Linked DNA regions of Mus musculus: region 1 is reported to be linked to region 2. Evidence: microRNA targets listed by miRTarBase, many of them from high-throughput screens and not tested one by one. Region 2 holds a microRNA gene; the other region holds the end of a gene's coding sequence.

Region 1 (4,057 bases), not on the chromosome of region 2:
TTTGTGGAGGCAGGGTCTTACTGTGTGGATTTGCTTCATGCACTACCATGCATGGCCTTTGATGTGTTTTTGCAGTTTTGTTTTAAGCTCTGAAGACTTGTTTTGTTTGTGGAATAACATTAAGACATTTTTCTTTTCTTTTAGCTTCAAGGTATTGCAGCATGCTGATTGAAGAAGGAGGACTGCAGCATTTGTATAACATCAAAGAACACGAGCAGACAGATCCCTATGTCCAGCAGATTGCTGTGGCCATTCTGGACAGTTTAGAGAAACACATTGTGCGCCATGGAAGGCCCCCTCCCTGTAAAAAGCAGCCCCAGGCCCGGCTGAATTGATAGCCATAGATAGTTGTGTAACGAACAGACAACGGGAAGCATTTTTGTGGTTGGTTCCTTTGGATTAGCGTGCTCTCTGGTGTTTGGGGCGGGGTGGGGGGTGTCTGTGGTAAGAGTCCTGTGATCCATTTGGAATTGGTAATGTACAGTACTGCCCATGTGAACAGTCTGATTTGTTTTGTGATTTTTAACTTATGAGGCAAGAAAGGTCTTCCTTCAATATTGTCTCTTAGGGAATCTCTCTCTCAGTGTTTGAACTTAACTTGTGCTTGAAATTCTACAGTTTCACGGTAAGCTGCACGCACTCTTCCGCAGGCTTCCTTGCAGGTGAGCAAGGCTGCTGACTTGACTTCAGCTCCACCTCGATGTAATTTTATATTGCTCTGTAAAAATGCACCCATTCTCTGTTGCCTTCCCATGATGCCCTTCTTTGTGTGATGAAAGCTGTTGTGTTTCTAGAAGCTTCTTGCTGTCAGGAGCCTGAGTAGCAATCAAAGGAACATAAAAGAAAGACCGTGAAAGGACCGAGTTGAAGGGAATTAGAAATTGCTTTTGTGGTAGAGCTCTGAAAATGGAAAAGGCTCTCCTGGTGTCCCTCTGCTACTTACTCAGTGGAATAGAGTTAAGTTGCTTAGTTAAAATACAATTGACAGAAAATTTGTTGCAAAAATTTAAACTTGAGTTGGGGTGTGGCTCAGTGGTAGAGTATGTTCTTGGAATGTAGGAATTGAATACCCAGCACCACACACAACAAAAAGTTGAATGTTTCTTCTGTTCAAATATGTGTATCTGTCAGGCATAAATGGCTCATGCCTGCAATCTCAACACTCAGGAAACTGAGCAGGAGTAGTGCTGTGAGTTTGAGGCCAGCCTGGGTTAGAGTGACATGTAGTGGATCCTCATTATGTGTTCATGTTAGAAAAAGCTCAAGAGAAGAGTGGGCTACTGCTGCGGCTGCGGCTGGATGGCTACCTGTGGAGTCGGCTGAATAAAAGGAAATGGTTTTGATCGGTTAGTTTTTAGGCAGTTGCCTTTCCTATAAGATAATTGATATATGAAGAATCAGTTATCATCCTATGAACCCGGGAGGCAGCAAGTTAGCAACAAACTTAAATTCCACTATAATTTTAAGTTGGGAATAATTCAGATTTATAATCCAGTAATAGCAAGGATGAGACAGAAGGAACTACAGTTGGAGACCACAGAGTTGCAAGCCAGCCTGGGCTACATGGGAAAGACCCTTTCTCACGAAACAAAACAAATATTTTAAGGGGGTCTTGGTGGCACTTGCCCTTAATTCAAAACACTAAGGAACAGGTGGCTTTCAGGGCCAGCATGGACTAGACAGCAAGAGCCCATCTCAAAACAAACCAGGATGCTCACATCTTGTTTTGTAAATAGGTTTAATCTGAAATCTCTTCTGACCACATTCATACATGTCTCAAATGTTTTCCGTAGTTTTAAAGTAAGTCAGGAATGTTTCAGTTTAGAAAGGAGCTAGATTAAGCTGTGCATCTGAGTGTGCACCTGTACCCTAGTGCATAGAAGACAAAGGTGAGAGGAATATGAGTTCTGAACCAGCCTGGACTATAAAGAGTGACCAGCAAGCTTATTGCTAGTATGCTTTTACCATGTCTGACTCATGTTTCATACTACTGTCACACTCCTTGGACTTGAATGTTTCAGGCTTCCTTTATAAGGACAAATACTGAATCAAACTGAAAGAAAACAGACACATAGAATTATCAAAAAGCCATATAAAACTATGGTTTATTTCTTACTTCATTGGTTCAAGGAATTTTAAGAGCTATACGATACATTTTTACCCAAGATGGTTGCTCAGATTCACCACTGGAGACAAGATTGCCATTCTGAGACTAGCCTGGGCTACCTAGTGATGCTTGTCTCAGCAGCCTCCATCTCAAAAGATGTCTTTTTCATAGTTAAACACATTTGGAAAAAAGAAAATTCTTTCAAAGGAGTAGTTTTTGCTTTTTGTTGACATTTCCCCCTCAATTTTAACGTCTAAGACAAAGTTCTGATAATATGATGTAGTCTACAATAACTAGCAAGCTTGTGGTGTTGATTTGCCAAGCTTACAAAGTACACTTGTGAAATAGTTGAGAACTTTGGCTCCAAGTGTCATGACCAAAGTACATGTGCTATAGGCTATTGCTAACCTTTTACAAAGTTTCAGAAAAATAAGTCAGGTGTGGTAGAGTTCACCTGTAATCCCAGTATTAGCAGCTGCGTAGCAAATTCAGAACCAACGTTTGGTTACCTGATATCCTATCTGGAGAAGCAGAACCAGACAGAAATGGTCAAAAGGTCTACAGAGTGATTGAGAATAACCTGATACATGAAGGCTCAAAACCAATTCAATTTATATTCTCCAGGCCAGTCAGGGCTAGATTGCCCCAAAACAAACAAACAAACAAAACTTAAAAACAAAAGCCCACAAACTCAAAGTGACAGATTGTATCCCAAGTAAATCAAGCTATTAGTGCCCGTGTTTTATTTTTGTTTTTGAGTCTCACCATGTGTAGACCCAAGGCTGTAGTCTATATTGATCTCATTCAGTTGACATTCCTGAGTGAGTGGTAGGATTCCACACATGTGCTACCATGTCTGGCTAAGGGATAGCTCTTGCTTTGTTTTGTTTGTTTTTGTTTTTCCAGACAGGGTTTTTCTGTGTAGTCCTGGCTGTCCTAGAACTCCCTCTGTAAACTAGGCTGGCCTCAAACTCAGAGCTTCCAGAGTGCTGGGATTAAAGCTAAAATGTAGTAAATACATATGTGTATTTATAAATTACGAATGTCCAGCCAGCTTCTACAGGCCTCCCATTTGTAATTGGTTGGTACTTCCAAAGCCACTGGCCTAGTGGTGTGCTTTCAGGCATAGTTTAGACTGACCTGAATGGCCTTGTTGAACTAACTCATCAGTATGCTCAGACACCAGCCATAGGGTCAGGAGTAGCAAGACTTGGATCTGCTGGAAGAAACACATGCACAAGGACCCAGGTTCAGTTCCTGCCAGAGAGGAAACAGAATTATGAGACTTTGTAAGACTGGAGTCGAATAAAGCAAAATATAGATATCAAAGCATCTGGGTTTTGTGTACTGAATATGTTTTTGCCATGGTCTCTGTACTCTGAAGTTTGTTTTCCTTCTGGGTTGAGAGTGCAACTCAGCTCAGTACTGGAGGGAAGCACACCGATTTCAACTCCTACTATCAGAAAAGGAAAAGATGATATTTAATGTTTTCTTTTTTAAGTTATCAATAAAACCATAAATCAAGAATAGGGGCTGGGCGGTGGTGGCACACACCTTTAATTCCAGCACTTGGGAGGCAGAGGCAGCTATATATCTCTGTGAGTTCAAGGTCTGGTCTACATAGCTCTAGGAAGCCAGGGCTATATAGAGAGACCTTGTCTCCAAAACAAAACAACACCAATCATAAAAATCCATTTAATAAAGTTCTCTTACTAATGAGTCCTTTTAGGCTGGTCTCTGGTCAATTTTTGACTTTTTTCCTTTGTCTCATGGAATCAGAGCTAGCTTAAAACTCTCAACCATCCTGCCTACGTCCCTCAGCACACCCCTTGCTTAGCTTTTTAGTCCCTTCGTTGTGGTGGTTTGAAATTACAGGTGTGTTAGGATAATACTGGTTTGTCTTTGATGCTCTTTGACCATAGGTTCCCCCCTTGGTACGTGCTGATGAAA
Region 2 (4,067 bases):
TTGGTATTCTAGACATAGAGAGGTGAGGCTGCGTGTAGCTGCAATGAAACCTGTCCTGGAGTTGCAGATAAATCCTGTCTTCCGCCCCTGGCGTCTACACAGGGAGGGAGTGTGGATGGGGGTTGCAGCTGCGCCTTGGTGGGAGGGCAGGTGGTGGCTCTCCTATTCGCAAAAGCGAAAATCTCAGTGCTCCGGCCCTAGGTTCAACCATACCCAGCTTTGCATCTCTCTATCCCTATTCCTCTCCCTTGGAGCTCAGGAAACCTGGGCCACATCCCTTGTTAAAGCATAGATCAGCAAAATGTAGACTAGCTGCTCTCTGAAACAGAGTTAGACCAGTATTCAAGAGCAGGACAGGAGATATGGGATAGGGGAGGGGCCTGGACATTGGAGTGGGTCGTGGTACTTCTAAATACCTTTTGAGAGGACTGTTCTTGCTTGATGCTTGGGTCAAAGCAGCACACTTTGTCTATGGGTGACTAAATTGAACCCCGTCTTTGATGAAGATCAAAACTACAATGTATTTTCTCTGACTCTCTCTCCAGTTAAGTATGAGTCTGGCCTATAGGAGGGCATTGGGGTTAGAAAACAAACCCAGAGGACAACATTGCCATGCCTAGATCTATGAGGTTTAACAATAACAGCAGCAGCAGCAACAACAACAACAACAACAACAACAAAGACTGAGGTCTCTGGACCCAGTTGCCTGCAGGTGGGAGCTCTCCTGCCCATTTGCAAGGGTTCCTGGTGTGTGCATGCGTGGGTTTGGCTTGTTTGTGTATGTTCATGAAATTGACTGTGTTGTAATTTACTCAGTAAGGGCAGAAGTATCCCCCAAGCCTAGGGTGTTATAGCGGTGGTGATAGTGAGAAAGACTCTGCTGGACACACTTGCCCTCACCTGGTCACAGCTCTCCCAGTTTAAACTCCAGATCCTCAATTTCTCATTTTTTCAGTTTAGAAAAGTCAAATGTTAGTGGGAGCTTCAGGAAGTTCACCCAAAAACTCCAGAATCCCATTTTGGCCACACAGCCAGCAACCCAAGCAGGTGGATGGGCCCAGTTAGTGAGCCTCTAGACAGAGGATCCTTGCCTGGGGATAAGGTGTGGGTAGGGGGGGTCCTCCTCACACCTCTAGGGGGGTGTCCCCTTATTCCAGCCTCCAGGAGGTATGGGGGGGATATGTGAGGTTGGGAGGGGCCTGCACATCATCTGGCTGCAACTTTTATGGTTCCTCATTGCCCTTCATTCGGAAATGAACTGCCTTTGATCTTCTTCTCAGGTTGTAAACGGAATTGCCCGTCATTAAATATGGGGGGGGGGGCCATCTGTTTGGTCTCCCAGCATTTTTCCTCACAGCTGTTTTTCTCTCTCTTTTTAGCATTCACTTTTTCCAAAAGGACTTTTATTACACCCCCTTCACACCCAGACACCTCTCCCTCCTCCCTTTGCTTTGGAAAATATCTATATATGTGTTTGATCACAAACTAAAGGCTGTGGGGGCAAGGGAGGAACCTATTTGGGGTTTTGTATTTTTTCTTAAAAAAAAAAAAGTCATGGGGGGAGGGGAGGGGCCGAGGGCACCCAGAAAGGCCTGATTCTGACTTCGAGGCAGCCTCGGGATGACCCTTCCTTCTTTTGTGCTTAGCTAATGTTTACATCTAATAATTCATGCGCCACCGAAAGTCGCGCGGCAGCCACGAGGTTCGAGTCCCTTTGCACAACAGCTGCCTTTTTAAAAAATCTTATTTTATTTTTTGAATAGAAAGTTGAAACCCCTTGTAATCCCAAGAACGGACCCACAGTGACTTTTCTGCTCCCAGATCTCAAAATTAAAACAAAACGAAATAAAAATGAAAACATTCAGATCACACCCAAAAGAAGAACGCACGGAAAGTAAGAGAACTGGAAATTTCCTGGGCCAAGAAGACCTGTCTGTCTTCTGTATATACCCTGTAGATCCGAATTTGTGTAAGGAATTTTGTGGTCACAAATTCGTATCTAGGGGAATATGTAGTTGACATAAACACTCCGCTCATATTCTTTCCCAGAAGAAAAATAGATTATTTTCTAAATGAGGACAATCCAGTGACTGCCTTCAAGAAGACTCCTTTTCTTTTCCTCCCTCAACCAATGAGGGAGAAATCTCATCTACCTGAGGTGTCCCCATGCACACCCCTGGAAGCTTGGGTCCTTGTTCACTCAAGAGATTAATGTTACTGGTGTTTTAAAATTTATCTTTAAGCCCCAACCTACCTATTCTTATTCTGGGTCCAGGGGGCTTTATTGGAAATCATGAGGAGGAAAAAAAGATTGCTGAAGGCTGCAGTGTGCAAAGGCAAAGGAAATTTGCTTTTTAAAAGGATGCGAAGATTGCTGTTTCGTTGAATTCAAGACAAGATGCCCTGAAAACATAAGGTTGCCATGGGTGTTCTTGTGCGTGTGATGTTGGTGGGGGCGTCACAGCTAGGGCTCCTTTACTTAGTATTCAAGGTTGTGAAATTTCTTTCTGCCACACTGACAGAGGCGGCGGCTTTAGCGGCAATTAGAACTCTTGGTTAGCATTGCTTCGACGAATCTGGAATTAGCAAATTACTATTCAATTGGTTTTAGGAACTTGCGGGTTTGGTTTGGTTTCATTGTATCTTCTGTCTTTAGTGGAGGGAGTCCAGCCGTTCCTCTGACCTTGGGCCTTGTGGGTTAAAGGGAGGGAGTGTTGAGGAGGACAGACTGACGGACACAGCCGATGCTCATAGTGCAGCTAAATGCGATTTGGAAGGCGAAGTCTCCCCGAATTAGTGCGTGAATTTCCTATCGATCTGCTCGCGGTTCCATTCATCTCTGACAAGTCCCTCTGCGCACCCGCCTTCTAGCTCCCGACGCCTCCTCACTCACCTCCTACCCCTCCCCATCTGGCTGCACTGAGAAGCCCCAAGCTCAGCGCCCCTATGACCTAGTGGGTACCCATTTCAAGAAGGCGCTCCCTGGTCGGCCAACCACTTAAAACCCCACACAGACACCTAGTGCGTGAGCTCCCTCTTATCCTGGGGAGGAGATGGGGCCCTATGGGAGTCAGAGAAAGGTTGGTGGAGATTAGGTAGGGCAGGGGTGGGGGCTACACCCGCAGCCCCAACTTCTGAGGGATGCAGGGTTTGTGCTCTGCCCAGCCCCCTCACCCCCAAACAGGCCCTCCAATTAACCTGCTCACTCTTTCTTAGTTCATCACCCCTCTCTGTTGTGGAGAAAGCCAGGCGAGGAGGGGGTCTCCCCGCGGGAGCCCTATGTAAATCCTGGTGTTGGGTGGGTGGGGAGGGGTAGAGAAGGGGAAATAAACCTCTTTGGCTGGAGTAGGGTCCGGGTGAGCAGATTTCCTTATCCGGGAATCGCAGGCCGGGTGGCCATTGGCTCGGAGGATCACGTGGGCCTCTAACTTTGTTCACTTGACAGTAAGTAGGAGGGCTTTCGGAAACAGGAAAACGAGTCAGGGGTCGGAATAAATTTTAGTATATTTTGTGGGCAATTCCCAGAAATTAATGGCTATGAGTTCCTTTTTGATCAACTCAAACTATGTCGACCCCAAGTTCCCTCCGTGCGAGGAGTATTCACAGAGCGATTACCTACCCAGCGACCACTCGCCCGGGTACTACGCCGGCGGCCAGAGGCGAGAGAGCGGCTTCCAGCCGGAGGCGGCCTTTGGGCGCCGGGCGCCGTGCACTGTGCAGCGCTACGCGGCCTGCCGAGACCCCGGGCCCCCGCCACCTCCGCCGCCCCCGCCGCCCCCGCCACCGCCCGGGCTGTCCCCTCGGGCTCCAGTGCAGCCAACAGCCGGGGCCCTCCTCCCGGAGCCCGGGCAGCGCAGCGAGGCGGTCAGCAGCAGCCCCCCGCCGCCTCCCTGCGCCCAGAACCCCCTGCATCCCAGCCCGTCCCACTCCGCGTGCAAAGAGCCCGTCGTCTACCCCTGGATGCGCAAAGTTCACGTGAGCACGGGTGAGTGCGTGGGCACCCCTTCCCCTCCCACCCCCGGCGCTTTACAGTGAAGGGACCTCCGAGGCATGTGGGGGAGGGAGCG

Evidence for each region. Region 2 holds the annotated microRNA mmu-miR-10a-5p (UACCCUGUAGAUCCGAAUUUGUG, at 1,948-1,970, shown strand). A microRNA usually pairs through its seed, bases 2 to 8, with sites in the 3' UTR of a target mRNA and lowers its output. Matches are read on the target gene's strand: a 7mer-m8 pairs with bases 2 to 8, a 7mer-A1 pairs with bases 2 to 7 and ends in A, and an 8mer does both.
Region 1: miRTarBase lists Zyg11b as a target of mmu-miR-10a-5p. Seed matches in the 3' UTR shown: 7mer-m8 at 3,014-3,020.

The regions. Positions count from the first base shown.
Region 1 is chr4:108,232,282-108,236,338 of GRCm38, reverse strand. Zyg11b (zyg-ll family member B, cell cycle regulator) reads left to right here. Exons shown (of 14, transcript NM_001033634.3): 14 at 145-4,057. The coding sequence ends at 335. Among named protein-coding and RNA genes, the nearest start is that of Zyg11a, 16 kb to the right of the region's middle.
Region 2 is chr11:96,315,239-96,319,305 of GRCm38, forward strand. Mir10a (microRNA 10a) reads left to right here and starts at 1,927; the gene lies at 1,927-2,036. It overlaps Hoxb4 (homeobox B4), which reads left to right and starts at 3,029. Exons shown (of 2, transcript NM_010459.7): 1 at 3,029-3,985. The coding sequence starts at 3,532. It also overlaps a transcript of Hoxb3 not described here.